Linked DNA regions of Lytechinus pictus. The protein of the gene in region 1 purifies or fractionates together with the protein of each later gene. This does not show direct contact. Links are inferred from orthologs where the notes say so. Each region holds a gene or a part of one and is shown in the gene's direction. Other genes may lie near its edges. The genes, in order: regulator of chromosome condensation-like, ran-specific GTPase-activating protein-like and exportin-1-like.

Region 1 (11,297 bases):
TCCCATCGGCAATGCGACCAAGATCTGTGATATCACACACGTACAACTCCCTTATTACTTTAGTACTTATTTCACTTATATTCTCACTTTTATAGAGTCTATCACAAGGTGAGGTGTTCTCTTTATGAGATGACAAGTACAGAGGTTTCACAACATTATATCATTGATGAATCGTTTGTCATTATGATTAGAATGAGCAAAAAGAGATGTTTTGGGGTATATTTTCAGTGTCCAATTGGGAGAGTTGTACGTGTGTGACATCACAGATCTTGGTCGCATTGCCAATGGGGGGATCTCCATAGCATTAGTGATCTCGACATTCAAATGCTCATAACTCTTTTATTGCTAGTCCTATTTTACTCAAAGTTTTGTTGATCTTATTCTTTGATTTTTCTGCTTTCACAAAAGCTAACTTGCTCCAAGAGTTTCATTCTCCTTTAATGTTTAATATTTTGATTATTACTCCTGGTGAGTGCACACGTTATAAAGGCATATAATAAGTATTGCTAAGAAGAATTCCCTTCGTACTATTTCACAATGTACTTCCTTTACCACCAAAGGCGATTGATTTATAATAATTCAGAGTATACTTCTAATTTTCAGTATGAGTTACCATAGTAACAAGGGAGTAAAGTGGTTAATTTTCATCAAATTCTTATAATTATCAATATACTAGGATGATGATGGGAATTGCCTATTGCTGCATTGCACATTCTACAAAAATAATTGTTTACATATTCATTGTTTAAATGCCTTTATAATTATGTCATTTTACTTATGTTTGAAACATGCTATTTATATTTTGTCGTTCATAATAATTCGTTGTGCTGAAGATTTGATATTCACTGTGTGAATGAAATAAATGAACAAAAATATCATATTCATACATGGCAATGATTTTTTTACCATTCAAATTCCTAAGTAATATTACTTTAGTTTCGATCAACCATGTAAGATAATGTGGCCTAAAGTTCAAGAGTTGTAAAATGTATTTTACAGTGAAGAAGAAAGATGGTGAAAGGGGGAGGGGTGTTTAAAAATCGTTTATACTGTGAGTTGGGAATTAGATGTGTGTTATGTGTTGGAGAAAGTGGTTGGGGAGCTGACGATGGACCAGAAAGACAGAAAAGGGGGGGAGAGAGATGGGGGCACCGGGGAGGGAGGGAAGGATCGAGGGAGAGGGGGTAATTTACCGCCTTACAGCGGTTGTAGGGGAAATGTGACTCCAGCAGCTGCAGTCACATTTCCCCTACAACAGCCGTTCGGCGGTAAATTGCCAAAAGCAACTCGTCTTCTAGTCTCACCACATGATCTTCTTTCATTTTGTCTAATGCCATTCCATCCATCAACATTTCGTCTAACAACCATTTGGTCCAATCACACTTCGTCTAATCACTATTTTGTCTATGACCATTTCGTCTCATAACCAGTTGGTCTAATATTTCATTTTCATTCATTTTGCCCAATTAACACTTAGTCCAATAAGACCAAATGGTATATGGACTAAATGGCTATTGGACCAACTGGTTATTAGACGAAATGAAAGGAGACCATGTGGTGAGTGGACGACTGATGGTAGACCAAATGATAGTAGACGAGTTGGCAATTGGACGAATTGGAAATAAACCTGTATTATACGGAGAGTCGAAAACAGCAATCTAACCATTTTTTTTGTACCAGCTACGTTTGAATAAAATTAGATAAAATGGTTGTTTTCCACTCGCCTTATCGGCGGCCGGAGGGGGAATGTGATTATAAAATAAATGAATTTCGTCGAAGGGATTGGTATAAAGAAGAATGAATGAGGACATAAAAGGGAGTCGCGAATAATAGAGAGAGTGGGAGAGGTGAGAGGAATTCTCGGGCCAGGAGAAAAGCTATGATTAACAATAATGGGGGGTCGTTGTTGCTGTTCTTCTTCTCCTCCTTCGTCTTCTTCTTCTTCTTCTTCTTCTCCTTCTTCTCCTTCTCCTTCTTCTCCTCCTTGTTCTTTTTCTTCTTATTCTCCTCCTTCCCTTTCTTCTTCTATTTCTCTGTCATTCTCTCTCTCTCTTTTTTTTTTTTTGGGGGGGGGGGCTTAATTCCCCCTTCCTCCGTCTTTTTCTCCCACCCCATCTCATCCTCTTCCCCTTCTCCTCCTTCTTCATGTTTCAACATTTTGTCGATTGTTATTTTTATATTTTTTTTAAAGGAAAGGGGCAAGGGTGATTCTTTATTCACCTGTGAAAAGAGACATGTTACATTATTTATGAATTTGGACTGGACTTTCAATAAAACACTCTTGCCACTTCAATGCTTTATTGCGTCAGGCGATGCTCTTACTGCCATCACCGAGTTGATTTATTTACCGTTGCTTGGTGACAGTTTCCGATTGGATCGCCCTGGTTAATCATGGTCTGAGAGGGTGAACGACAGCCGATGGAAAAAAAAAACGATTTCGATATTGTTGTCAATAATTAACGCGATGCTTATTGTATTGACCTTTACCTGGAAAATACATAAGCGATTTCGTGAAAAATTGATAAAGGCCTTTTGAAGAAAAAAAGAAACACAATGCATTCGTGTGTATAGTGTATACGGACGAAATTGTGTATTTTTGAATCATTTATCATTGCATTTGTTTCATTTGACATAATGCATGGAGGGGCTTTTAAGGACGATCTTTCTCTCTTTTTCCCTGCTCCTTCCCATTTCTCTTCTGCACTCTCCCCATCTCTCTATCTGCTTCCGCTTTTGTCCCCCATCTCTACCCCGCCCTTCTCTCCTCAAACTCTTCTATATACAGTGCGTCCCACAAAAAACGAAACCGAGATTTATCGATGATTTATCATAACTTAATCGCAAATACAATAGACAAATGACCTACCATTTTAAAGCTTAGAATCTCCTCTTTCATTTGAAATAACTTAAATTATTTCTCATTCACGCATGAGTGAGCAAAAACAATTTGAAAAGGGGATACCAAAAAGTCACTTGGCGGGCCGTATCTGGGTTTTAAAAAGAAAACCACATTTTAAAAAAGTTCAATATCTGCTCTTTAATTTGATACCTCAATTACAGAAAATGGTCAAGAAATAACAAAGTTCTGGTTATTTGAAATAAGGCTTGAATTTCAATAATTTCATAAAATGAAGAGGTTTTACAGGCTAGCGTTCAAACTCACTCGACACTCCGTTTTGTTGACGATCAGCCATGCATTAAAGGGGAATCCAACCCAAATAAAAACTTGTTTTTATAAGAAAAAGATAAATCAGACAAGTTGATATGTGAAAGTTTGAACAATATTGAACAAACAACAAGAAAGTTATGAATTTTTAAAAGTTGTAAATATTGGTAATCACTATACTCATGGAGACTTCAAATTGGCCACATATGGGATGTCATAGTGATGTAAGGCAAGGACTACTCTTCCATGTACTCCATTACATATTATGGCTAAAATGTCATTTTTCCGAAAAGTTTTATTTCAAATTACATTTTTCTTTTATGAGGACATTTAACAATATACCACCTGGGTTATATTTAGATTACTGCCCCAGGGGAATGGGTACTTAGGAGAAAACCACAAAACCCTGATAATAAAGTACATGGCCTATGGGAAAGTTGTCCTTGCCCCTTGTCATAATTTACTTACCCAGTTGCCAATTTGAAATCTACATACTATTAGTGATCCCAATTTTAAAGCAGCTATAACTTTCTTATTGTTTGTCCGATTTCTTTCAAAATTTCACCATTCTGTTTAATTTATTTTTCTCCTTCCCAACACAACATTTTATGGCAAAGGCTGGATTCCCCTTTAAGTCTTTTGTTACCGTGCGATAGCTTCTGTGGGAAACCAGTGAAAACACGTTTATTTAAAGAAGAATGAAACCCTTGAAACCAGCTGAATCTATATCAAAGAGAAAAATCAAAGAAACATATTGTTGAAAGTTTGAGGAAGATTGAATGAATAATAAGAAAGTTATGATCATTTGAATGATCGGATCACTAATGCCATGTAGATCCTCCCATTGGCAATGCGACCAAGATCTGTGATGTCACACACGTACAACTCCCTTTATTTCATTTATATTCTCACTTTTATAGAGTCTATCACAATGTGAGGTGTTCTCTTTATGAGAGGAGAAGTACAGAGGTTTCACAACATTAAATCATTGATGAATCGTTTGTCATATGATTAGAATGAGCAAAAAGAGATGTTTTGGGGTATATTTTCAGTGTCCAAAAGGGGAGAGTTCTTCACCTGTGACATCATAGATCTTGGTCGCATTGCCAATGGGAGGATCTCCATAGCATAAGTGATCTCGACATTCAAATGCTCATAACTATTCTATTGCTAGTCCTATTTTACTCAAATTTTTGTTGATCTTATTTTTTGATTTTTCTGCTTTCACAAAAGCTAACTTGCTCCAAGAGTTTCATTCTCCTTTTAATGAAATTATGGAAATACAAGCATTGACAATTTTCTGTGATTTAGGTATCAAAGAAAAAAGAAGATATTGAACTTTTTAGTCATGTGATTTTCTTTTTGAAATTCAGATACCCCCCGCCAAATGAGTTTTTGGCATCCTTTCTTCGAAATCTTTTTGCTCAATAATGCGTCAATGAGGAATAATCTAAGTAATACCAGATGAAAGAGGAGATTCTAAGCTTTACATTGGTAGGTCATTTGTCTATTTTATTTATGATTAAGTTATGATAAATCATCGCTAAATCTCGGTTTCGTTTTTTCTGGGACGCACTGTATATATATTGGCTCATTACGCTTCATTAAAAGAAGTGAGAAGCGCGAACAACTGTTTGAACATTCACGTTCTAGGATATGCAAGCGTGAAGCGGAATTTTGCATTTTGATATAGTGTTAAAAACAAGTTTGCTATTTGCCAACTCTTCCCCTTTTAAAATTCTTCACTTTTCTTCCTCTTTTTAGTATCCCTCCTGTGTAATTGTCTTATTTATCCCTTCCTTGATATATCTCCTCCTCCTCCGAATAAGAAGAATAGGAATAAAAAGGAGAAAAAGAAGACGAAGGAGGAGAAGTAGGGGAAGAAGGAGAAGAAAAAGGAGGAGAAGAAGAAAAAGATCGAAGAAAAAGAAGAAGAACAACAACAAGAAATGATATACTATTTACAAAGACAAGACGAAGAAGAAACGAAAAATTAAGAAGAAGAAGAGAAGAAGAAGAAGAAAAGAAGAAGAAAAAGGAGGAGGAGGAGAAGGAGAAAAAATATCGAAGAAAAAAGAACAAGAACAACGTCCAACAACAACAAGAAATGATATACCGTTTACACAGATAACAATGCATATACAAAATGAAATATTGTTTGTATGATTTATCACAATAATAAAGACCAAATTATGCTGCCATTACAGAAAGTGAAAGGTTAAATAACAGAGTGCATGAGGAAATCATTGTCTATATATAAAAATAAAGAAATAAGAAAAAAAAAAGTTGTCTTTTGATTGTGGCTTTTGAAACTGGACCCAGACGAATAATTAACTTGAATCTGAAATTGAAAGAGTCCAGGAGGCCGTTGCATAAAGCTGTTCATAAGTTAAGAGCAAGTTTAAGAACAACTGGTGAAACTTTCTTACTCCTAAACCATCGCCAATGAACATTTTGGTGTACAGTATACCATTTACAAGAAAGGTTAACTAGTCGTTCTTAAAGTCGCTCTTAACTTACGAACAGCTTTATGCAACGCCCTCTGGAATCTTGATTATTCCTTTTTACCTATTTTTTTTTATTTTGTTACTATTTTGTTTTTGTTTCTGTTATCTTTCATTCACCCCACTTTAGTTTTTTTTTTTTAGGTTTTCGTTTTATGCACGGCCTCTCTGAAAACAAGCCATTGGCTGATCGAGTGCTGTTTTACCGTGTTTAAAACTTTAAACAAAATATATCAAATCAAATCGAATCAAATTCGAACAAAGCGGTGCATAAATAGGTAAAAGTATTAATGTGAGCATGAAAAAGTAAAATATCAAAGTAAATTGATGTTTCTATCATGGACAAGCGAATATTCAAATTGAATACAAGTCATATTAATGCTAAAAAAAAATTATGGTGATTAAAAACTAAACATATAAAATATTTAAAAAAAACTTAAAGAACTGAAACTTAACATATAAAACCATTCGCAAAATTATGTGTACTGAAAACAAAATATATGGAACGATTGCAAACTAATATTATGGTAAACAATGATAAAAAATTGTCAGTTGATGTGTAATACAACAAATTAAACAGAATGATACTCATAAAACATTTAGTAATCCATATTACGACGGTATCCGTGTTTTCAGCATCACTCTAGAGACTAGAAATATATAAGTATACCACCTAAATTTCAAGATCATAAAATTATTGTCTTAAATGACACGCCCTCATTTTTTAAATAAAATCATCTGAGGCATCGATCATAAGGGCGGGGGGCAATCGCCCACAATGAAAATATTGGAGGGCAAACATAATTACCGATTTGCTTCCCTCCCACTTTTTTTATCTTAAAAAAGAAAAAGGGAATGCAAATACTTTATATTTTTTAAAGGCATTGGAAATTAATATAAAACTATCCAACTTGACATAAAAATACAAAGTTGTCAATATTTCGACGCGCTTGTGCTTAAAATACCAGCCAGTTTTGACATTCTTTAAATTGTATATTTGCCCATCGACCCCCCCCCCCCCCGTGCTCCATCCTGAAACCTGGATAGTGGATTACCATTATAGTTTCTTTTTAAAGTTATGTGAAGTGGAGTTTATTCATATTATTCACTTGATAAGAGATGATGAATTTATATCAGAGTTATGCATAATACGTTACCATGCTTATGGGGGGGGGGGGGGGGGCTTTCACCATAGATCATTCATTGCTTCCAAAACAGACAGAAGTTCAAAAGCATCAGTGATATGTACAGTATTATGATTCTCAAAGTTTTTGGTATTTTGTTTTAGAAATGATATTAAATTTGCTGTTTGTGTTTTTTAATTGTTCGAATAAACTCAACCTATAGGCCTACTCAAAGAAAATTATTGACAAAATTAAAACCACTTAATATAATAAATTTCGGAAAATTCCATACGCATGCGGAATCCCAGTTTTTCATTTCTGGCTTTATTCGCAGAGCTAGAGATACCATCGAGTTTTAAACGGAGGCGGCAAACGTGTGTTACGTGCAACTCTTTTTGTCGGAGAAAACAAAATAAAGCTTGGTTTATAAAGGTCAGTTTCCAACTATTGACAATATCACTTGTTTTGAAGGATGAAATAGATATTATTATTTGTGTTTGAAGTGCTTTGTATGTTTTGGTTGTGAGATAAGCTAAACAATATTTCGAACGAACTTCGCACAATTAACATACCGCATACAACGCGATTATGAATATGTGGGCGCAGTGTTTCTCCTCGGCCTCGCGGCTTGACCCGTCGCGTTTAACTTCAAAGTTCAAGCGCTGCGCCGCGCTATCGCATTTCCTGTACCGTACCAGCTGAGAATGAGTGTCACTATTTCAAGCCAGGCGGCGCGTTAACTGTCTCCCGTTAATATGTGAGGTCATTTCATGCTTTTGGGGTGGTATTCTGACTGAGATCCATTTTATCTCAGAATCAGATCTAATAAAATATTTTATCTCCTTCAAAATCAGTGAGATAAAATACCCTTAAAATCTCTCCGAATTGGTATTTTGAGAACAATTTTATCTTCATTATTTTTAGATATCTGGATCTGGATGTACAGTGCAGGACCGTTAGGTTTAATGCACCGGGTAAGGAGAGGGCGCAAATAGTTTAATGCACCGGGTAAGGAGAGGGCGCAAATGAGTTTAGTCGAAACGTAGTGGCTTTCTTCGATCTTAATTTATTCTTGGCTTTAATAAACTGTAACACCTCTGGTGATGTACCGGTACTGCTGACAACTTCGTTAGGGAGTTGATTCCAGGCCAACGAACGTTGTATTCACAAAAAAAGAATTTCTTAACTGCTCTGCGTTACATTAACTGTCTTATTGAGAAAATGACTTGGAGTTATTTGTTACTTGTTTCTCTACCACATACAACATAGTTAGTAGCATCAAAGTTTACAAATTTCTTAGCTTTGATATTACGTTATAAATGTCTTGCTTTCATTAGAAATTTATCAACAGGAAGGGCAGGAACCAACCCCTCGACCACTTTGAAGTAGAATTAGCTAAGCCAAATGAATTCTTTTATTTTGGAATAAACCACAGCTTATTTGTACTCATTTTGAAGGGGATATAATTTTCTATCTAAGTAATAAGAGTACAGTTTTTCCTAATAACTAAAGCTTATTTAAATTAACGCATAATCCATTATGCAAATATTAAAAATGTTCTGCCAATGATCTGGTGACGTGGCGTGATGCATGTGGAGCGTTGTGGCCCAGTGGATTAGTCTTCGGACTTTGAAACAGAGGGTCGTGGGTTCGAATCCCAGCCATGGCGTAATTTCCTTCGGCAAGAAACTGATCCACAATGTGCTGCACTCAACCCAGGTGAGGTAAATAGGTACCGGTAGGAAGTAATTCCTTAAAAAGCTGTGTGCGCTATGAACGCCTAGCTTAGCCGGGTAATATAGGAGCGCCTTGAGCACCTAACAAGGTGCGCAATATAAATACCCTATATTATTATTATTACATTATATATAATAATAAATTAGACCAAGATTGCCAACAATCTTGGTCCAATGTATATACATTTAATTGTTCTAGACTAAACATGCTGAATCATATTTCATCTTGCCATCTTACACCCTAATTAGCATCTAATTATATATGCAAATGAGCAGCATTTAGCGCATAGGCTGAGGTGAACTTGTATTCACATTCATAGTAGGTCTACCTGTGACTGAAGAATATTCTTGCACTAAGTTTTGTTCTGATTGGAAGTAAAATTCCAGTCTCCACTGAAACAAATTAAAGATGTGCATCAAGCAAGTTCTGTTATTGTGCACATTTGCATTTTATTCCATGCATTAATTTGCATATTAATTACAATTAGCTGTTGTGTATTTCACGATATATGTGTGCAAATGGCAGAGTGGTATACACACACAAAACAATTAATAATAAATCAGAGGGGAAAATATCAAATGAAGGTAAGGAATTAGATCAGAACACCAATCAATTAATAGTAATAAAAATATTTAGGTACTACAAGGGTAGAGTTACTTTTTTAAAAAAAAGGAAGAAGAAAACCCTTTTACAGGCTTCATCAGCAACCCCCCCTAACCACCATGTCCTGTCTCAATTTTATTTCTAAGTCTTATGTTCAAGACAAACACAGCACCCCAACACTCTTTTAAAAAGATTAAGCCCCTTACCCCAATAAACAAACACACAGTCACAGAACAACACAATTCCTCAGCCCCCCCCCTTCCCAATCACCTCAAATTATAATTTTTTTTACTTTCTCTTTTCCTAATTCTACTTTTGAATAGATATAAAGTTTCCATCAAGCAGCTGAAATCATCAACATGACAGGACCTAAATTTCTTTTGCCATTAAAAAAATGATTAAAATTGATCTTGAGAATCATTGGATACACTTTTAAAACTAAAAAGCAAGATTTGTATACTTTCAACCTGAATTTACATGATTAAAGACTATTTCAATCATCAGCAGAAACATTGTCAGCAAATTTATCTATATGTGGGACTACATCAGAAATAACTTTCCTATTGCCTTCCACCCATATGGTTATCGAGCTACAGCCTTCCAAAGTGCGGGGGAAAATCCGAAATTTTTACGCTCATAATCACTCTTCTCAAAAAGCAGAAAAAACAGTAGAAAAAATCAAATATTTACGAAAAATTCTCGGAAATATTCTTACCTTCGCGAGAAGCCATCTTGCATGTAGTATCGAAGTGAAAATCTTGCAAAAGACGAGTTTACCCACAACCCTCAGAACCCGGAAGTAAACAATGCTGCTAACAAATATGGCGTCGATCACAGAAACTCCCCGGCGAATGCGAAGTTCAGAACCCTAATTATCTCATGACGATCGCTTGATTCAGATGGAAATGGGCTGGAATATGGAAAATGTAAGTGGAAATTACATTTTGACTATTGCTGTTTTCGAAATTTCAACATTTCATTTCAAAAACGATATGTAAAGTCGAGGCCAGTCAGAATAGGAACCCCAGAAGTGCCGATCCGTTTGGCATCGCTAGTAGAATGTCAGTTTCAGGACTTGGCGTCTTGAGGCAAGAATAGGCAGGTTAATATTCTCTCTCATCTTGGTAATCGAACCTGGTTCTTCGAGAGCTGTAGTCCCCACAGATGAACTGTACTGCTCTACGCTGTGTTTTCTCCAGACATTGGATATCCTTCTGAAGATAGGGATCCCTCACACATGCACCATATTCCAGGATAGATCTGACTAGTGCAATGTATGCTGTGCGCTTGCAGTTCTCTGGGCAGAAATTTAGGTTCCTTCTGAGTAAAGCAAGGACAGAGTTTGCCTTCCTCACAGCTTTGTCGATCTGGGGTGACCACTTCAGATTGTCAGCTAGTGTTACTCCAAGATATGAATGTTGAGATACATGTTTAAGTATACAGTCATTTATGGTGTAAAAGTATGAGGTTTTGGCATTTATTTATGCTCATAACTTGGCACTTGCCAGCATTGAACCTCATTCCCCAAGTGGATGCCCAATTTTCTAATGCAGTAAGGTCCTGCTGCAGCTTATGATGGTCTTGTTGAGACTTAATCTGTCTACACAGCACACAGTCATCTGCGAATAAGCGAACCTGTGACTGGACAACATCAGGGAGGTCGTTGATGTGGCATAGAAATAACAAGGGTAAGAGTACTGTCCCCTGCAGCACACCTGATGTTACTTCCTCTGGGTTTGAATGCTCCATCAACTACAACCGTCATTTCCCTGTGTGTTAGGAAGGATGTAAGCCACTTGTGTATCGAGCCATCTATTTTGTAGTTCGCTAGTTTGTGTAGGAGTAGCGAGTGAGGCACTGTATCAAACGTCTTAGCAAAGTCTAGTATGATGACGTCTGACTGTACTTTCTTGTCATGGGCAAGAAGGAGATCATGTACTGTGGTCAGTAGTTGAGTTTCAGTTGAATGACCGGTCCTGAACCCGTTGTTGAGAGACGACAAGATACTGCTTTCTTGTAGATGTTTGAAGAGGTGCTTACAGATGATATACTCAAGCTGTTTGCAGATCACTGATGTAAGGGAGACTGGTCGATAATTTCCAGTTGAGTGTACATCACCTTTCTTAAAGACTGGTGTAACATGTGCCTTCTTCCAGTCAGATG
Region 2 (10,888 bases), on another chromosome or scaffold:
AGGACGCTCTAAAGTTCTGTTTGTGTGCATCTTGATTTGCACATATTTTACACTATGTGCATGTATGTGACACTTAATGAAACTAATTAATCAGCTATTTGGTATCAGCTAATTTTTCTTGTGATACTTTACTCTGCAGTGCTATGAAATAATGCGAATATGATTTTGAGGGTAATATAATTGTAACTGGGAGGCTTCTGAATTTTCAAGTGTATACTTTTTGTTCTTTTCTTGCAATACTTTAATTTGAGGATGTTTTTATTTGATTATCAAGAATGAAATGAATTTGAATTGAATGATATGAAATGAATATTACTATCACTAAATATTGCAAAAAACAAACAAACAAAAAAGAAGAACATGAAGAACATATTCATAACAATAATACTAATTACCAGTATACATTGTTGTTAATCGGGGGGGGGGGGGGGTGGATGGGAATTGTCCCCCCTTGAATTTCAAATATTGTACAGCAGCCTGTGAGGGTCTTATCCCGTTAAATGAAAAAAAATCACTGACTATGGCAGTATATGAATGAGAGTCTTTTCTATGTACAATGTAATGTATTTAATGATTAAGAGGCTTTTCTATGTACAATGTAATGTATGTAAAAATCTGTATGGTCTTTCACACATGTCAAACTTAGTAATGAAAATATCAGGTTGAGAGAGAGAGAGAGAAAGAAAGAGAGGGGAGAGAGATCGTATGTTTAGCCATGTCTTACTACCCGAGTGCAATACCGTTTATTTCTTCCTTTGGTGTAAAAAGTAAAACCAAAGCTCAGCCTTAAATAATAACTTCAAAAGTTTGGCAAAATATGTCAACTTTAAACTGATATCTTAATAGAGCTTGTGCTTTATGTTGTGCTAGTGAATATTTTAACCTTATAGAGGAGACGGAGGGACTTATAACATAAACATTCATGCACAAATTTGACTGCTCAAATTAAACAAATATGTTTATAGCTAAACTTATAAGACAACATGACTATTTCTTTTTTCTGATGAATCAATGACTAGTTAATAGTTTTTAATATTTTTCTTCTTATAATATATATACATATATGCAAAATTTTATCCAGGGTGTGGCCCATATATATATGTATATATGCCCCACCCCCTGCGATAAACATTTACAAAAATGGTTAGGAGGAAAAATGTTAATGTATTTTTGTTTTGTAAAGGATGTTATCACAACCTTTCAAGACGATATTGTATTTCAATTGAGAATATTATAGTGATTCACCATATAGTGACTACCCGGTGCTGGTTTCTCCACTCATCATATTTCATTTATTCTCAATATCATTATGGACCTGAATGATTATGATATTTATGTGTTTTGTTGTTATGGAATTTTAAATCTGATTATGATTTCATTTTATACATGGTCCATGAAACTTGTTTAAGATTGAGTATAACATGTAAAATGTATGAGATGTGAAGTGCCATACTAGTAATTATGTATATAATTGCTTTTCAAATGTGAACTGCAAGGTTGAATATTATAGATTGTAAATGGCATTCATTTGTTAGCCACTGCCAGAACTGGCAAGTTAGTTGATGTATTTCAAATTTGAAATTCATTGGATTATCAGAAGCGTAGATTTGAAATTATGTTAAAATCTAATCTGGTGCATTTAGAAATCAATCCGAGTTATGATAATTTCAAACATAGTTTTTGTCAGGAAAATTTTTACCTATAAATGCACACAGACCCAATGTATTCATATTGTAGTTTTTTATTACAATATAAAAAAATGCCATTGAATAGGTCAATGGTTTTATTTCCTTGATTATTGTATATCTATCTATGTTTTGTTTTATATTAGGCACAGGTACCTCTAAAGGTATCCAGTCACATTTCTTGCTTCAATTATGGTAGGTGTCTTGAAATGTCTTCATATGTCAAGTTTAAAGGTGTGTTTTAATCTAATATTATTTTGTGTGCAAGATAAGCTGTCTTTCAAAGTTCTATGTCATCTTGGTTTAGCATTAGCTATATTTATTAGCTATGAAGTTATATTTATACTGTAATAAACAATAACTTTTAATTCACAAACAGTTTCAAATATTTTTGTGAGATGTGTAATTGATTTCAATTTTTGATAGTGTTTGGTATGTGACAAAATGTCATCTAAGTGGTATCACTTTCAGATATCATTGACATGCTTCCCTGGTTGTCTGTTTGCATAGATACTTTCCAGTTTGCACATAAACAAGTATTTTTGAAAAGGGATTTCTTAAATGTTTGATATAACATTCTAAGATTATACATGATAGAATATTTGGGAAAAAAAAAACAGAATTCAAGAAAAGTTGATATTGAATATACTAATTGCCAAATATGCCAGTTAAGATATGAAACTCAGGAATGTTGCATAGGTTTCACTCTCAGGAATTCAGGAAAACTTTTCAGAAATTGATTTACATGGATACTGGACCAGTATCAATGAGATTTACCTCCAGGGATAGTCACAAAGCTAGTTTTTTTTCTTTGAAAAAGCACAATAAAACAATAACTCCTGTACATTTACTATCGGTACATCCAACAATGAGTAAAAAACAAAAACAAAAAAACTAAGATTGTTCTATCACACGGTTTCAGTCAATTTCAAGTAATATAAAGAAAGGGGCAGATTTTTTCAAAATATTATTTATTCATCCATTGGTATTTAAGGGTTCGCTTCTTAAGTTAATATCTTCCTCCTCTATGTTTCATGTGTCTTTGAGAGAGTGATTAAAGGAAACATGTCTTTATCCCTTATAGACCTTACAGTTTGAGACTAGTGGAGTGTTACATGAAAGGACTTGTCAGATGTTTTATCTGACAAAGTGTGTTTCTCAGCCAATCAAAATCAAGGATATTTGTCTGATAAATGTTGATGAAATGCTCTCCTGAATTCTTCATGTTGTTGATGAGGCCTATGTATTTGATTTATTTTTTTATTGAAATATTTCTTAGAAATTTCTGTTGAATACACCTTTTGTAAGTGAAATTGATGAAAAATAATTAAGAGAATCAGGGTCTCAGTTTTATAATTATGAGGGGAGCAATAAAAAGCTCTTCTAAAAGTTTTAAGGGGAGCGGTAGAGGAGCACTGCAAAAAGCTCTTCTTTGACTAACAAGGGGATTTTTTTTGTCTGAAATTAAAAAGTGGATGGAGGAACATACACTTAGTTGCAAACCACAACTTAGGAAACAAACAATCAGATGTATAGGCAACATTGATCTCAATGAACTTTTTGTTGTCATTTTTGCAATGTGTGTTATTGCCTTTTTGTATGTCTTCTAATTTGACTTAGAATGAGGTTTTCAAGCTTGGCTCTTAACAGTTCAATCATTGACTGACACTCTTATTCTATTTTCAGGCTAAGTGATGTCAGAACAGAGTCATATGGAAATAAAATGTAGAAACAATTTTTAATTGTGTATGATGTTGCCTGTTTTCAAATTTTTCTGCATTTATCATTTCATATCACAAAAAAAAAAAAAATTCGCTGAGGTGAGCAATAAATCGCTCTACCTGAAATGGTTTAAGGCAAGCAGTAGCGAGTGATCACTCTCCCCTGTAAACTTAATTTTAGTCCCTGGAGAATCACAGTTGTCAAAATGTGATGAACTTTATAATGTTACTAGAAAATTTATATTTGCTAGAATTGACTTGTAAACTGGTAAACTTAATGAGATGGAAGGGAGCTGTGAAAACTTACAACTATGATGAGTTTATCAAAATGGTGTAAAAAATGTTATGCAACGTTGTTTACTATATGAACCGTAGGCCTACAATAGGTGTTTAACAGTATAAACAACCATGCTTTATTTATTGAGAATTACATATTAAAAATTGAACTTTGTTGTGTAAGATTTTAAACACTTTTAAACAGGGGAGTGATATTCAAAGATGAAGTCGAGGAAGATCATAAGGAAGAGGGTGGCCAGGAAGAGAGACTGAGAGAGAGAGGGGAAAAGGGGGGTGTAAAATAACAAAATAGAAGAAGGAAGAGTGGTGATGGTGAGAGGAGGAAGGAGATTTGAGGCAAGGGGGGGGGGGGTTGTAACACTGAGGAGGAAGGAAAATAGAGGAGAATGACAGGTGAGAGAGATAAGGAGATACTGAGTTAAATGAATAAGAAAATGGGTTGAGATGGTAAAAATAAGAAGTTTTTCTCTCCTCTGATTTAAAAATGAGGTAGAAATTCACTTTGAAGAGTAGAGTCGTCATTGTAAATATTAAGCTAAAATCAAGAACTTCTTTATCATTCTCAACAAAAATAGTATGAAAATTGTAAGCTATAGTTACATCATTGCTCTCGCATTTGCGTAGACCTATAACCCATTTACTTTTCTGAAAGTAAAGTTTTATAATGTCACATCTATCTTATTTTCCATCCGATCTTGATTAAATTTTCAATGTTATGCCACTTTTACTTGTCTTTATTAGGTCCATGATTATAGAGGTGGGTCTGAAAATAAAGTGTGATAAAAATGAAAGGACTGGCGCCCCGCAGTCTGCAAATCAGTCTCTGGAGCCACTGCCCTAGACGCAAGTCCCGATGTCTATTTATATCACCCCCGGCAGCAATTTCTTTTTGTTCATCAGTAGGCCTATTTGTCAGGGTTTTTTTCATAAATATTTGAGGCGACACGAAACAGGATATTTGGTAATTTCAGCTCGATCGGTGTGGCTCTCCGTTTTTTTTCGTGCAGGGGTCGGTGGTCAGGGGGGGCAAGAGCAAAAAATTTCCCGGTCATATGGTATGAACAGGTGTTAATGAGGCGACGATTTTGAGAGGGCCAGATATTGCATATCGGGCAGAATTTATCTTTTAAAAAAAAGTTGCGAGCGAGCAAAATATCTGACATTTTTAATACAAAAATCCAATTTTGTGATAGATTTTGACATGATATCCAGAAAATGATATCACTCTTCTCTCTTTCCATTCCTTTTTTGTGGTCTGTTCGCCACTGTGAGCAGGATTCTTTGCGGCAGTAGCGTGAAGAGTAAAAAAAAAACGAAGGGCGCAGTATGGTGCATGTGCTAAAAAGCTGCTTGATACAAGTCCCGAGCGAGCAAAGCGACCGAGAAAAAAAATCACCTTTTTATTAGAATCTAGTAACTTTGAGATATTTTTGTTGACATTATATTCAGCAAATAAATCATATCCTACACTCTTCCTTTGCTTTTCTTTCCTCTTTTTTTTTGTTCTTAGTTGTAGATTTTTTGGGGCCATATGGCCCAACCCTTCCATACTCATATACAGAAGTCCTATGCGGTTGGGGTCTGGGATGGGGCCCCCGGAACTTTTTGATATCAATGCCATTAAACACTCGCAGATCGCCGCTATTTTTAATCAAATCTCGGATAAATGCAGAATATAGCTTTTACACAACACATTTATTCAACCCAGTTGCGTAATGAACCAAATATTTTGAGGGGGCAAAACAGCTAGCAATGTGGGAAATTTGTTTTTAAAAAATCGCCAGCAAGTAAAGCGAGCTGGAAAAAAAATTGCCTATCAAATTCTAATTATGTGATAGATTTTTCCATTATATTCAGCAAATAACACATTTTATTGTTTCCATTCATTTCATTTTATCTCCTATAATTTCTTTTATTTCCTCTTGGGTGTGGAACCAAGACCCCCCCCCCCCCGCCTGTACGCCAGTGATTGAACGTAAAGCTAAATGTAGGAAGGGTCCCTATTACAGGGGCGCCTAGAGCCATTTAAAGGTTATAGATGAAGAGCCCCTAAAAGCCGGCCCGGTAGCTTATTTGCATAAAATTTATCAAGCTTATAGCACAATGTTGAATGCTCTCCATCTTTCTTCCCGCTCTTTATTTTCTTGTCCCTTTTCTTTGTTTTTCAATTTAGCTTTTGACTAAGATCCATTCAACCTTCATTTCCTGCTATTGTTTGCCATTTTGTCATATTTTAGTTTATTTCCCATCATGCTATTGCATTACATAGGCCTATTTCGGAATGATTTGTTCTTTCTCAAATGCTCTTCTTTCGTTCCTTTTCCCGCTTTCCATCCTTTTCCATTAAAAAATTCTTCGTTTTCTTTTCACTTTTCCCTTTCCTTTTCCTTCTTTCCTTTTTAATTCCCCTTTCCTTCCCCTTTCTCTTTTTTTTTCTCCCTCCCTTTTCTCTTTTTCCCCGTTTTTTATTTTCCCGGTGAAATCCGCCAGGTGGCAGGGCGGGGGGGGGGGGGGGGGGGGCTGTTACGCCACTGTCCACTAGCTTGTTCTTATTTGATTGTATGAAGCAAGGTTTATTCAAAGATTCTACCAAGAACTAAAACAATTGGATCGACAACTGATTAAGTGCATTATTAGTTATTTATTGCCGCAACTTATTTCATCATAATGGAGACGCATCATGTACTCGTATGAAAAAATGAAACATTTATGATTTCATGTAATAACATAATAAAATTAGGGAAAGTGGAAATGTGACATCATCAGCCCACCTAATGAATTTTCATGACGATGTGCATATCCCTGTTTTCACAAAATATTGATAAACTTTAAAATGCAATAACTATGTTATTTGTTATCCGTTTTGACGAAAATTTCAGTATTTTGCTCTGTGAATTTTACTTTATTTATTTTAATATAAATGTCTTCAGCCCGGACCATCCCTTTGACCAGCGCGCGCTTTAGCTGGGGTGGGATGAATGCGCTGTATAATTCATAATAGACAGTAACTCGTGATTCTCATACTGAACTCGTTAGGATATAGGGTATGGTTCCGGAATTACTGTCTATTATTTATTTCTATTGCACAAAATACGTTCATCGTACGTAAATACCTAAATTGCAAAATTTCATTCATTCGTATAACTGTCCGATTCTTTGTGCATCCGCCGACATCCACCTAACGAAATGGCAGATGTGAGTTTTTGATTTGTTAGAATGTGTCTTAATGTGTAAGATGTGATTTTCAAATGAACTTTGTCACGATTCGACATTTCTTATCCGTAAACCGCATAGATTTTCACATGTTGTGTTGCGTGAACTGAATGAGTCCTTCGTGCAGCTGTACTGTCTGTAGCCGTCATAACTGAGTGAGCCTAACATGACTAACGTTAGCTCCTAACATTAGATGAGCATCTAACTAACTTATTATGGAAAAGAGATTTATTATATCGGCTTGTCCACAGACATGAGTGAAGAAATTGAAATAGAATATTTAGGTGATCTGTCATTCCTGTCAATCGACAGGACAGATCAACTACACTATTTCGTACAAATTAGGCCTAGGGCTAGGGCCTAATTATTTAGGCCTAAATCAAAATATTTAATTTATTTATATTTTTCCACCCTTGTCCCACTCACGCGTATTGCAAGGTTAGTAGTATACTAACCTCGCACCATGAACCGCGTTTGGCAGTGGATTTCTAAATTCTAACTAGTGGGTCGCGCGTGCTGGGATCTCACTTCTGCCTGGACCTGGTGTCCACAACACACGACTTCTAGTTCTATGGCTTGATTTTTTTGTGCGCGGCTGCATGTAATGAACCCTTTGGACTTTGGTGCCCTTGTCCCACCAAAATCTGGGCCTAACTTACATCTTCAATTTTTCTCAAAATATCAGTTATGGGGACATGTCAGCCGTCTGTTTCGAGGAGATTTTTTAACATTTTAAATTTTTTAAAATTTCTCCTCGTACACAGACGTAGCCTGGAGGCGTCTTGGGGAGTAAAAGTAATAATACTCTATCACTCATGTATGGTCACTCCCGAGCTCCCCGAACGCCTGGCGTTTGTACATAGGCTCCCATGCACCAAACAGTACTAGTAGAGGCGCACGGCCAATATTGGAGACTGTCTCCAAAATGGGAGATTATCTCCAATATCAGAGACTTTTGTAAAGAATTTGGGTATCCAATTTCAGAGACAGTCTCCAGTTTTGGAGTCCAATTTCCTTTGTTTACATTTGCTGCAAAAGGATTAACTTGGCGGCAAATAAAAATATGATAAGCAGATTCCTCATGAAAAATTACCCCTTTTCACAGTCTACTTTAAAAATTCACCGTCTACTTTTGTTTTGATAAGGATTTTTGTTGTCAATCACACACAAAACAAATGGGCTTCTGACCTCAGTGAGACAAAATTTTGGGTGGAAAAAATCATGCTTTTGTTGGTGTTGTTTCTTTTGTCCTTTTGCAAAGCAAGTCTCCAATGTGGGAGATTGTCTCCCCTATTGGAGAGAGTCTCCCATATTGGCCGTGCGCCTCTACTGCCAAAGAAAAAGGCAACTATAAAAATGCGCCAAACTGCTAGTTATGTTTAGAATCTGAGGTTAACAGTAATGTTGTAAATCGGATCAAAAATCAGATCGAAAATCGGATCGGCAGTTAAGCTTCTAAAATCGAAATCGAATCGAAAATCGAATCGGCGATGTTTAAAAACAAAGGAATACATCAAAATGTTGTTCGCGGTCGCGCGCATCTTCCTGACAAAGTCACAAAGACGAATGCATTGGAATGGAAGTCGCCAACATGCGCGATCGTTTGGAACATGTTTTAAAGCCAGGGGTTTTGAGGTGTTATTGCTTTAAAATAAACCGAGTGATTTTTATTAGAAAGATAAACGAAAGACGCATCTTCCGAGCAAAGGCGCAAAGGAAAATAAAATGAAAATATTCATCATAGATCACAGGTTAATGAACGATCGGCGGGACATCTTTTAGAAGTATTTTTAGGTGCTAGCGATTTAGAATTATTGGAATGATCTCTTACGACGCATCATCTTAAAGTCGCAAGTGCAATTAAAATGAAGTAGAAGACGCAAGCACGCAAGATGATTTGAAATATGTTATTAAAATGTTTTGGGTAGCTAGCGTTTTCAAATCAATTTGAAGTTCACGGCGGGGTCCGCTATCACCACGAGGTTGAAGAGAAGATGTCTATCATCATAAAGGGGGTAAGAGAGTAGCGCAGTGAGCTCCGTCGGTAATACGACCTTTCAAAATTCACGGCGGCATCCGCTATCACCACGAGGTTAAAAATAATGTTGTAAATCGGATCAAAAATCAGATCGAAAATCGGATCGGCAGTTAAGCTTCTAAAATCGAAATCGAATCGAAAATCGAATCGGTATGTTTAAAAACAAAGGAATACATCAAAATGTTGTTCGCGGTCGCGCGCATCTTCCTGACAAAGTCACAAAGACGAATGCATTGGAATGGAAGTCGCCAACATGCGCGATCGTTTGGAACATGTTTTAAAGCCAGGGGTTTTGAGGTGTTATAGCTTTAAAATAAACCGAGTGATTTTTATTAGAAAGATAAACGAAAGACGCATCTTCCGAGCAAAGGCGCAAAGGAAAATAAAATGAAAATATTTCTCATAGATCACAGGTTAATGAACGATCGGCGGGACATCTTTTAGAAGTATTTTTAGGTGCTAGCGATTTAGAATTATTGGAATGATCTCTTACGACGCATCATCTTAAAGTCGCAAGTGCAATTAAAATGAAGTAGAAGACGCAAGCACGCACGATGATTTGAAATATGTTATTAAAATGTTTTGGGTAGCTAGCGTTTTCAAATCAATTTGAAGTTCACGGCGGGGTCCGCTATCACCACGAGGTTGAAGAGAAGATTTATATCATTATAAAGGGGGTAAGAGAGTAGCGCAGTGAGCTCCGTCGGTAATACGACCTTTCAAAGTTCACGGCGGCATCCGCTATCACCACGAGGTTGAAAATAAAATGTATATCATCATAAACGATGTAAGAGAGTAACGCAGTGAGCTCCGTCGGTAATACGACCTTTCAAAGTTCACGGCGGCATCCGCTATCACCACGAGGTTGAAAATAAAATGTATATCATCATAAACGATGTAAGAGAGTAACGCAATAAGCTCCGTCAGTAGCACGATCTTTAAAAGTTCACGGCGGGGTCCGCAATCACCACGAGGTTGAAAATAAAATGTAAATCATCATAAACGATGTAAGAGAGTAACGCAATGAGCTCCGTCAATAGTACGACCTTTCAAAGTTCACGGCGGCATCCGCTATCACCACGAGGTTGAAAATAAAATGTATATCATCATAAACGATGTAAGAGAGTAACGCAGTGAGCTCCGTCGGTAATACGACCTTTCAAAGTTCACGGCGGCATCCGCTATCACCACGAGGTTGAAAATAAAATGTAAATCATCATAAACGATGTAAGAGAGTAACGCAATGAGCTCCGTCAATAGTACGACCTTTCAAAGTTCACGGCGGCATCCGCTATCACCACGAGGTTGAAAATAAAATGTATATCATCATAAACGATGTAAGAGAGTAACGCAATGAGCTCCGTCAATAGTACGACCTTTCAAAGTTCACGGCGGCATCCGCTATCACCACGAGGTTGAAAATAAAATGTATATCATCATAAACGATGTAAGAGAGTAACGCAATAAGCTCCGTCAGTAGCACGATCTTTAAAAGTTCACGGCGGGGTCCGCTATCACCACGAGGTTGAAAATAAAATGTATACATCATAAACGATGTAAGAGAGTAACGCAGTGAGCTCCGTCGGTAATACGACCTTTCAAAGTTCACGGCGGCATCCGCTATCACCACGAGGTTGAAAATAAAATGTATATCATCATAAACGATGTAAGAGAGTAACGCAATAAGCTCCGTCAGTAGCACGATCTTTAAAAGTTCACGGCGGGGTCCGCTATCACCACGAGGTTGAAAATAAAATGTAAATCATCATAAACGATGTAAGAGAGTAACGCAATGAGCTCCGTCAATAGTACGACCTTTCAAAGTTCACGGCGGCATCCGCTATCACCACGAGGTTGAAAATAAAATGTATATCATCATAAACGATGTAAGAGAGTAACGCAATAAGCTCCGTCAGTAGCACGATCTTTAAAAG
Region 3 (11,121 bases), on another chromosome or scaffold:
TCTTATTGTTTCCATATCCCATAAAGGTTGTATAAAAGGAGTATGAAGTTCCAAGATGGAACTGTCCCTTCTTGGTCTGGGGTTATTTTATTGGACATTCAAAGGGTAAATGAAAAGAGAAAATGTTTGGTATTTCAAGCATTCACCCTATTTGTTTTCATATTCTATTAAAGCCAAGGGGGCCTAGCCCCCCCCCCCCCCCCACACACACACACCAAGAGAGAGAGAAGGGAGAGGGGAGAAAAGGAAAGGAGAGGGGAAAGAGAAAGAGAATGAAATTTGGGAAAGCGAGGGAACAAAGATAGGATGCGGGAAAAAAAAGAAAAAGGGGAGACTAAAGAGAGAAAGAGAAGCAAAAGAATAGAAAGGGAGAGGGGAAATAAATGAAGGAGAAGCAAAGAAGCAGGGGAAACGGGTAGTTCATAAAAGGGGACTGGGCAGGTTGGTAAGAAGTCGGGGCTCTTTTTATCCCCCTTTTCTCACAAATGAATAGAAGGTAAAACAATGAAGAAAACAAAAGAAAGTCCAGGTACGAAATGATCTAACCTTCGGCAGGCGCGGATCGAGGGGGCCTTGCGCTCTCCCCCCCCCCCCCCCTGCAAAAGAAGAGAGAGATAAAAGGGGATGAAAAGAAGTGGAAGAGAAAGACATAAGAAAAATTGATAAAGAATACAAATAATGAAGAGGGAAGAAGATGCCTTGCCCTGCTCCCGTCCACCATGCCAGAAATAATAGCAAGCTCAGCTCTCCCAGTAACATAGATACAAGGGAGCATAATGAAAGTAGAAGGAAAGGGAGAAAAATGAGAAAGAACGGGAATAAAGAGAGAAAGAACGGGAATAAAGAGAGAAAGGAAATGATCAGCCGATAGAGGAAGCTAGCATTAAAGGGAAAATATCAGTCTTTTTTCACAAACTGTGAATCTATAAAGCCCTTACCACCTCTTTATTACAAATAAATTTAGATTAGGAAAGGTAAATTGAAAGATAAAGTCGTTCTCATGGGCCGAAGCAGCCAAGGCCTCTGCATTGGCCGCACAAACAAAGAGAGATATGGGGGGGGGGGGGGGTGAATGAAGGAAAGGAGAAAGGGTAAAGTATAAGTATAATCACAGGAAGAGGATTTACTGGAAGAAAAGTTAAGAAAATGAGAGGAAAAATATAATTGTCAAATAGCAAACCTTTCATTCTTTTTAGATAAACGACGATAACTGTTGCACTCTATAGTACAGGCCGTCAATTTTATCAAGACGACCCCTTCCGACCGGCTTTGGTTCTTCGATAAGCCAATTAATCGAGGAAATGTAAAATATTTTTTCCCACTTTCCCTCTCCCACCGCCCCTAGTGTACTCTGGATCCGCCCCTGGGAGAATTTGCTGCACGGCAAGAAAATTAATTAAAATACAAGTCCACCCCAACAAAAAGTGGATTTAAATAAAAAAAGAAAAATCCAACAAGCATAACACTGAAAATTTCATTATAATCGGATGAAAAATAAAATTTTCACAAAACATGCAGTGATATGCACAACTTGGCGACATGTAAATGAGACAGTAAGTTGATGATGTCCCTCACTCACTATTACTTTTTATTGTTTGAATTATAATATTTCATTTTTTACAGATTTGACAATTAGGACCAACTTGACTGAACCATATAGTATTAAACATTAATTCCACATTTTCAAGTGGAATTAATCTTGTCGATCAAGACGTTCATTGAGGAGAAAATTAGAATATTTCATATTTCATATAATAAAATACAAAAGAAATAGTGAGTAGATGACATCATCAGTCTCCTCATTTGAATACCGACCAGGATGTGCATATAACTGTTTTGCGAAAAATATAAAGGGAAACTTTAAAATGTCATAACTTTCTTATTTTACATCCGATTTTGATGAAATGTTGAGTATTTTGCTTGTTGGATTTTTCTCTTTATATTCAAATCCACTTTTTGTTGGGGTGGACTAGTCCTTTAAGCATTATTCCCCGGGCATTATTCTCAGTGTCATATCGGTTGACGACTTGACGTACTGATGCTAATTTCAAATATTTCAAGACCACTAAAATTAGTAACTCGGTCTTTAAAATCTTGTTGCTATAGAAGTGCCTTAAAACCTTCAATCCAGGCCTTCATATCATGTTTGGACATGGGCGGAAATCCCAGGGGGACAGGGGAGACGTGTCCCCCCTACTCAAAATAGTAGGGGGGACACAATATCAAATGTCCCCCTACTATTTTTGGTTTTTTATGATGGTAAGAAATACATCATTCTAAAGCGAAATAAAACATGTATTTTGGGACGAGATGACCTTACTTTTGGGATGATAACCTTTTTTTGCTTGTCAAATTTTCCCGCCCCTTGTCCCCGTAGGCGGACCAGGGGGCCGAGGGGTCCACCCCCCCCCCCCCCCCTCTTGGCGGAGCAAAAAAAAGAAAAAAAGGGAAAGAAAGAAGGAATAGAGGGAAAAGAGAGGAGAAAAAGAAAAGAAGGACGACGAGTGCATAAAATAAAATGAGAGGAAGACTTGGAAAATAAAAATAATCTTTCGTGCCACTATATAAAATTTTCGCTCGCGCTTCGCGCTCGCATTGCCTGTTAGATGACTTACATATCTTGTTCAATATGGAGCTCGAATGTCAAGTTTAGAAGTCAATATACAAAACATATTTCACCTCGGAAATCGAACTTCATTATTTTGTGTGATTTACAAATTGATTTTTAAAAAGTGCTCTGTAAAAATGTCAGTTTTATGGTCTGAATATGAACATTTGCTGCTTGCGCTGCGTGCTCGCAAATTATGATTTTTCAGGTACCTATTATTTTTCATGAAGTTTTCAAAATATCCCTTTTCAGGTCTGATTGTTGAGACGTAAAAATATCAGCTAGCGCGCTGCACGCTCGCATTTTGATTGGCGAGTTATATATGTTTCAATATTGATTGTACAACAAACTACATAAAATCCCCTTTTCATGACAGTTTATCAAAAATTTTAGCTCGCGATTTGCGCTCGCATTAATGGTTAAAAATATATAAACTGATGCATCCTATTCATAATTACAAAAGTAAAATGTCCAGTTTTTATGCCATAATATCAGATTTCGCGCCCTTATTAGCAGGAGGGGGGGGGGTGGCCTGTACAAACATCCCCCCACTTTTTACGAAAGAAATGAAAAAAAAAATCACAAGAGATAATTGTTTTATTGGTGAAAATTCTTCCAAAAATACCGCTTATCAAATAAAATAATATTATTGAATCATAAAATGCAAATAAAGAGCCAGTTCACCATTTCCAAACAAAATACTTATGTCCTTATTATAACATTGAAGAGAAACCCCCGTTTCTTCCAATTCATCAATGTTGGGGTCTTTGGGAAGGGATTAAGATAGAATGTCAAAATTTTTTAAAATGTAATCTCTAATAAAACCATTAAACCATCATGGGGTAAAAAAGATAATAATATCGGAGGGGTATTTGCCATATGGACATACAGTGGCGTAACTACGGGGGACATGGGGGGCACACCCCCCCCCCCCCACATCGGCTGACCAAAAAAAAACGGGGAAAGGGGGGAAAGGAGAAAAGAGGGAGAAAGGAAGAGAAAAGTAGTGGGAAAGAAGAAAATATTATTCATTATAATGTTATATTATAATTATGTTAAGTTACATTACATAAGAAACATTTTTATCATAACTTTATGAAACATAATTTGCCCAGGGCCTACGTCTTCATTGTTCCTGGTGCTCGCATTGTCTGTTTAACGAGATATATAATCCTGTTGTACTAAAACATCCCGTTTTCAAGTCAATATAAACCAAATATATTTCCTAGCACTTGAGTTATCATTGTTTTATGTAGTGACATATGCTTCATTTTCATGACTCAAAAGTGATTGCCCCATGTTAAGGTCTTCGTATATATGAAACATTTCCTGTCCGTGATTACGTTCGCATTAGTGGATTGGTGAGATATGTCTGCTCTTCATGAATTCCTAAAATCGGTCCTTAAAATGTAACTTCTTCTGATCTGAATATAAAAAAATTTCAGCTCGCGCTTCGCGCTCTCATCATTTGATCAGTGAGATACATATCCGTTTAATGACATTGTCCTTAAAATGTCTCTATTAGGTCACTCACTCAGTCATTCAAAAATTTTGCTGGTGCCCCCCCCCCCCCCCCCAATACCGTGACCCACGGTACTCCACTGTCAGTGTGGACATATCAATGACAATTCCTTGCATATCTAAAAACATGATTGCAAAAAAAAAAAAGCCAAAATATTTCAGTCATCCCCCCCACCCATCAACACGGATTTACGTCAGTGCTTATTAGGCATTAATAAATATGATATTAATTGAATAATCAAATTGTCCCTTTTGTTTCATCTCGCTTAGCAAGAGGAATAGGAAGATAGTCATCATTTTCATATGATGACATGTCGTAAGGATGTCCCGGTCCTATGTCAAAGCTCAGAGTAATAATAATGAAAATATCAGCTCTTTTTTAAGTGCGATCCATATCCACAAAGTGCTTCTACAAAGTGCTTGAAATATAAAGCTGAAATTGACTCTTTTTTCAGATCGGAATATCAAAGTTTCATGATTTTCATGATTAAAGATGTATATAGAATGCCTATAGATTCTAGGTCTAAATATGAAACACGCGCGCACATGTTAATTCAGATACTCAACTTGTTCTCTATTTAAATCATTATCCAGTTTCAGATCGCAATATCAAAATTGTTCTGCTCGCCGTGCTCGCATTATTGTATAGGAAGACCCCATATTACTCATCCTTTTCATGATTTACAAAACATGAACAGAGTGGCCCATTTTTAGGTCTAAATCTCGATTTTTTTTCTGCTCGCACTTCCCGCTCTCATCAATTATTAAATTATATAGCTATCCTGTTCACGATTACAAAAATGATTAAAATTTTCCATTCTTTCTCTAGAAAGTTCAAAAATTTTCAGCTCGCGCTTCGCATTCGCAGTTTTCTATTGTTGAAATATGTAACGCCTTCATGGCTAAGTGCAAGCAGTCCTTAACAGTTACCTTTTCAACAGGTACCAGTTCAAAACGTATATAAAAATTTTCTTTCATCAATTGTTTACTTAATTACCTATTCTGCTTGAGTTACAAAAAGTGCTTAGAATTTCCATTCTTTAGGTGAAAAAGTCAACAAAAAATTGCTCACGCTTCGCGCTCGCATTATTTGATAGTTAAATGCTACTTTAACAGGTATTTTTTCCATCAGTTCATTTGCATGTACTCGCGCTTTGCGTTCGTAGTAATTATTAAGTTGCGTACACATCATTTTTCAGGATAACAAACATTGCCCAGAATGTTCAAATTTTAGGAAAAAATACAAAAAAAAAAATCAAAAAATTGCTTGCGCTTCGCGCTCGCATAATATAAATAAGGATTATGATATTACATATAAATTTATAAGAATAAAGCTAAGAAGTGACTAATGAGGACTACCCCTTCAAAAAAAAAAAATCGGGGAAATTATGGCTGAAACAAATTTCCGCCGCCCCCCCCCCCTATTGGCGAAGGTTGGATCCGCCCCTGTGTCCCCCCTACCTTTTGGGAGAGATTTCCGCCCCTGTGTTTGGACATGATAGAGCTAAGACTTTGGCGTCTCGGCAGATCGACTAGGCTAGTGCAATGAGCAAGCTGATCGGTGTCATATCCCCACTTAATCTTTAGTATTTGATTAAATAATTTCTCCTCCGCAGGGTACGGTAAGATTGACTAAACTGAATTAATATTAAAGAAAATTATTGCTGCAACTGATCATGATACAAGGGAGACAATTCGAGTACACTATATGAAAATGTGAATAGCATTATACGAAAAAGGAAAGCATTGGCACTATCTTGCATGTTCGATTATTTGCATATGGGGGCCCCATGGGGCATGGTCTTATTTCACAATAGGCCTAATATACAGTATTGCTAAACTTTGAAATTCAACTTTGTTGTTTTGTAATAGAGAAGCGTTGTGGTTAGTGAATTTTTACTCTGCTTGTTTGGGTATCATTATTTCAGCCCGAAATACTCCATCATTGAGCGACCAATATAATACAACCATATACAAATTTAACATAATGATAACAATAAACAGGTAACGGGCATGGTACCCAGCTGTCAACCAATCATATTTTAGAACTGTATACTGTTTTGCATGTGAATTCTGAAGCTGCGCCCTCTACCTCGCTCTATCTGTATATATCGCAACTCGAAAAGCGCCCGCGAATATATATATTCCTCTCTGCTCTTCCAAATATGTAATGCGAAATAACAAACTTGACCCTTCGCTCCACATTACATCGTGTTGATTAAGAAGCTCATTACTGCACATAAACATTAAACAATTTGTATCTTCAGTTCATTATATGATTGTGAATTATAAGTGTGATAATGTATCACTGAATATTTTGATGGATATGATTTTCGCAGTGTGCAGAGATACTACTCGCGTATACGACAGCTAGCTGCTGCTGCGCCGAACTGGTTTTGACCGGTTTTTATTCGCCAAAAATTTCCATCACTCGAGACGCCGAATTCGTCGGATGGAGATCGAAGCTGGATTTACTCTGAAATATCTTAATTTTAAATGGCTGAAACATCCTCGAATTGCCAGATAATATAGACAATTAATGAAATGAAAGCTTGATTCACGAATGCTTTAATGTAAGCGTCGTGTGGTATCCAGGTTAGCAATTTACAGAGCAGATAGTTCACGTGGGTTCTGTACTCGTCTCGGCGGACGACGGCCAGCAGCGGAGAGCTATCATAGCAAGTAAGTAAAGCAGAGAGGCCGCATTCTCATTGGTCCATGCATGCTAGGGTCTTGCCGAGTGAGTGTACAGCCCAGCGAGCCAGCTCCAGCTGGCATCGTTCGAATCAGCGATCAGCTGAGCTCTCACTCAGCTAACCCAAGCCCAAGGAGCTTCGGCGCCGCCCCTTCGACGGTGGTGCTCATTTTAATTAAGCCTGGGGCCATGCTGCTTGTTGCTAGCTGATGAAGTACTATGCTAGGCCTAGGGCCTGGACCCGATGAAAACTAGTAAAGGCCGGGGTGCCGGGTGGTTATGATTGTAAAAAAATTGTAAAAATTGTAGAGACAGCTGGCAGCCGTCTGTTTCGAGGAGTTCTTTATTGATTTTTAAATTTCAAATTTTTTAAATTTCTCCTCGTACACAGACGGCTCGCTATCGTGCAGCCACCATTACTCATTAGGGTAGGGGACTTAAAATGCAAATTCCCCCGTCGGGGCTCTTCGATTTTTGTCTTTATTTCATAAAAATATTTAAAGAGAACTGTACCAAAAAAAAGAAAGATTATTATCATGATTCCTATTCCGTTTTGGCCTGAAAAGTGAAATGCACCAAAACGGGGAAAAATAAACTTAAAAGGGGAAAAAACAGTGACTTACTTCGGCTGTCGCGCAACTTCACTTCCCTGTTTTATCCGAACTTGATACGGCCATTGAGTCCCCTGTACAGATCGAGCTAGAACTTCGGTCTCTGTATTTTGGTGAGTGGAGCCAACGGAGTTCAGCGGAACAATAACAGAGACCGAAGCTTTTGGTCTAGATCAGTAGATGTAGATCTATTCTAGGTCCAGATCAAGACCTGAAATTCTGAATTTGCACAGTTTACCATTTTAACATAATTTTGTTAATCAGAAAAATATGATTCATTTTGATTTTGAAATCTGAGTTTTTTAAATGTATGGTAAGGGGACCTAACTTAATTGATGCTACGCGGGTCCTAAAGCTACGCACCACTCATCGCGCATGCAGTTTTTAATGGCAAATGTGCACTCTGTGTGTGGCCAGTGACGAACGATTCGATTCCTATTCAATTGTTACTACAGAAGCTGCAGTAAATCTCTAATTAAAATGCAGCGAAAACCCACAAGTCACAACTGTTTGGAATTTTGGAGTTATATTCGCTTTAATTTCATTTTATCCTATAATAATGTGAACATATTTTAGAAATTGAGGCACAGGAAAAATGCTATTTTTTGCATGATAAATCGAGTGCGTAGCTTTAGGACCCCTTCGACATCGGAATCAAGAGGTGTTAAAAAAACACTGGAATTTACGTATTACGTGAGTTTTGCAATATTTTCTTTTTGGCTAATGATTTATATTTGCCACAAATTAGTGAAAGATAATTTGTTCAATAATTAAAATTGGCATAGTTTTTCAGGGGCCACGGAACGGTTTTCGAAGTGGGGGGGCTGACCATGCAAAAAAATCACAATCATATGGTAATTTTTACGTTTTTGTACACGGTTTTGGAAAAAAGTGGGGGGGGGGGGGCTGAAGCCCCCCGCTTCCGCGGCCCCTGTTTTTATCGTTTGAAAACAAAGTGCTTAGCTTTAGGTCCCCCCATCATAAAACTAAAAAGGGGGGGATGTTTTCTGAGTTTTTAGGCTAGGCCTTCAAGGTCAGGGGTTATGTTGTTTTTTTGGGGGGAAGGGGAAGGCATGTCTGCATTTGAGCTTAATTAAAATTAAAGCCAAGGTACTAATTTGCAGTTTCGCACCAGCCGATTTCGAGAGAATTTCCCCACCAATGGTTGTTTGCAAAAGTTAATAGCAAGTCTCAATCATATTTCAAGGCCAAGATAGACTACCCACCACTTTTCCGAACATCGCAATCAGGAACGGCTGTATTTCGGCTTCGATCTCGACATCATTCAAGTTCCCAGTCAGACATTGCTTCGCTTGGAGTTGGATTTGCTGTTATTTTGATAAGGATTGAAATAGACAACCAAAAGTTTTTTAGCTGATATCAGATTTTTTTTTTTCAGCTTATTTTTGGCTTTCTTCTGTTCAAAAATATGAGAGCTCTTCCTATTTCAGACTTTTTCATCACTCTTCAGCTTTTTTCAGATCTTTTTATTTGTGACTACTCACACCCCTGAATATGTAGACTGATACTCTAATGTTAGACCTATTCATTAAAAAAAATCTGACTAAAGAAATGGGAAAATATTGTATTTCAGGCATTTCAGTCGAAAGCAGCCATTCTCAACAAAATCCTTGAATCATGTGAAAAGTGAATGTGTGCTTATAAAATTTTGGCTCTATTTTTTTGTTCAGTTTGAAAATGTTTGGCTGAGGATTCTTTAATCTGAAAATGATTGGCTGAGGTTTTTCAAGAAAATCATATTTGAAATTTTTCTGACATTTGGGGCACACTACTCAAGAATATATTATATATCAACTGGAAATTATGATGGAATTTTAAAGAACTTCATGTTTCATCTCAAGTCAAATTTTTTAGGTGCATAGACATTATGCACAGACAAGGGGCCACTGCATAGGCAAGGATTAGTGAAATTCACTTGGAGGGGGGGGGGGTACCAAAACAAAAATTCTCCTTTAGAATGATAATTGCTGCTTAAAAACCATGATTCAAACCTTTTCACCCTTATTTTTTTTCAGGCATTCGCTCTAATCCAGACATCTTGTGTAGGTGAATCAATGCCTTCACAGAGCATGGCAACGTTGGCTGAGCAGGCTGCAAAGCTGCTCGACTTTAGTCAGAAGCTTGACATCAACCTCCTGGACACAGTCGTTGGTGCCATGTATAGTGGAGAAGGCCCAGAAGTAAGTAGACAGTGTTATTATATGCCAGGGTTATACAGTTAACTTTGCCTGTCTCTGGCGTTTCAAGGGAAATGCATTCTTTCAGTTGTATTTTATATTATCTTTTGCCATATGAAATAATAATAATATTACATCATGATAATAATATTGCTTAATAATAATTAATAATAACAACAACAATATATTATTATTATTTATGATGATATGATGATGATGATGGTGATGATGATGATGATTACTCCAGTTTGTTCATGAAACAATAGATGGTCTGGTGCCATATAACATTTGGCAGCGATCCACATTAACTCATTTCCAGGGGCCTGTTGCATAAAAGAAAAGCTCTGGCAATTATTCAGAGTCAAGGGAGAAGGTAGTGTTAGTCATTTCATTGGTAGTGTCCATTAAATGATAGTACTATCAAGGTAGGATGGAAACGAGGAAGATATTTCATGGACATGAAAATGTGAAATTTTAAGCAACCGGGGTAAGGGTTTATTTCCCCCTTATATTGGGTTTTTGCCAAGCTATCCCATGGAATTCCATGTTCATAATCTGACAACTATAGAAATAAGAAACTGAATATTTATTTTGCCATCCTTGCCTCCACAGCAACAAATGGCCCAGCAAATATTGACAAGTTTGAAGGAGCATCCCGATGCATGGACAAGAGTCGACACCATACTTGAATTTTCCAGCAATCAACAAACCAAGGTTTGAATCGAACCCAATTTGCTACATCATCACTAACAGGGTGTTGCAAGAAACTTGTGATTGATTGTAGAACAATATTAGGTACCAATTCAATTGAAAGTCGTGCACTTCGTTGCAAATTGCAGTGGATTGGTGGTCTCTTTCTCGCGTCAAGAAATTATCTTGCTTTAGTCAAAATTGATCTATCACTTGTTCATTTGCATCTTAAATTTGCAATGGATTACAATTATTTTCTTGCAACACCCCCTAAGTTCAACTCGAAGTATTGCTTCCTATGGAAGCCATCTTAAGTGTGAATAACCAACTCAACAATATTCTGAATGATAAATAAAATCATTATTTATTTGCCTGTTTTTATTTGCTTGGTGACTGGATGCAGTATATTTTAGATGTGCAGGTAACAGCATTTGTAAATATACACCTATGATCAGTTTTTCCAATTTTAAAGGTTGATTAAATGTACTTAAATTTTTTTTTGTATTCTCCTAGTAAGATAAAGGTCTGCGTGGTGTGATTTACAGTCCACAATTCTGTCTACTTGGTTTGCCTGTTTATATATTAAAAAAAATGATTTGAATATTGGTATTTTCGTTCACAGTACTATGGATTACAGATCCTTGAGAATGTCATCAAGACTCGTTGGAAAGTTTTACCTCGCACTCAGTGCGAGGGAATTAAGAAGTACACAGTCGGACTCATCATCAAGATATCATCCGAAAAGGACCTGGCTGAGGTAATTTGGTCGTCATTTAAAATTCTAACCCCTCTACTAAA

The links.
Region 2: the proteins of regulator of chromosome condensation-like (region 1) and ran-specific GTPase-activating protein-like purify together in Homo sapiens (affinity purification with mass spectrometry; 3 studies listed by BioGRID and IntAct, counting the BioPlex papers as one, with this or other methods). This does not show direct contact. The link is inferred for Lytechinus pictus from reciprocal best matches to the Homo sapiens genes RCC1 and RANBP1.
Region 3: the proteins of regulator of chromosome condensation-like (region 1) and exportin-1-like purify together in Homo sapiens (affinity purification with mass spectrometry; 3 studies listed by BioGRID and IntAct, with this or other methods). This does not show direct contact. The link is inferred for Lytechinus pictus from reciprocal best matches to the Homo sapiens genes RCC1 and XPO1.

The regions. Positions count from the first base shown.
Region 1 is NC_087261.1:5,082,458-5,093,754, reverse strand, and holds the start of regulator of chromosome condensation-like, read left to right. Parts: upstream 1-7,109; 5' UTR 7,110-7,226; intron 7,227-11,297. UniProt on the Homo sapiens protein: Guanine-nucleotide releasing factor that promotes the exchange of Ran-bound GDP by GTP, and thereby plays an important role in RAN-mediated functions in nuclear import and mitosis.
Region 2 is NC_087246.1:7,320,447-7,331,334, forward strand, and holds the start of ran-specific GTPase-activating protein-like, read left to right. Parts: upstream 1-6,674; 5' UTR 6,675-6,889; coding exon 6,890-6,898; intron 6,899-10,888. UniProt on the Homo sapiens protein: Plays a role in RAN-dependent nucleocytoplasmic transport. Alleviates the TNPO1-dependent inhibition of RAN GTPase activity and mediates the dissociation of RAN from proteins involved in transport into the nucleus.
Region 3 is NC_087251.1:44,094,874-44,105,994, forward strand, and holds the start of exportin-1-like, read left to right. Parts: upstream 1-6,276; 5' UTR 6,277-6,811; intron 6,812-9,471; 5' UTR 9,472-9,510; coding exon 9,511-9,636; intron 9,637-10,245; coding exon 10,246-10,347; intron 10,348-10,945; coding exon 10,946-11,080; intron 11,081-11,121. UniProt on the Homo sapiens protein: Mediates the nuclear export of cellular proteins (cargos) bearing a leucine-rich nuclear export signal (NES) and of RNAs.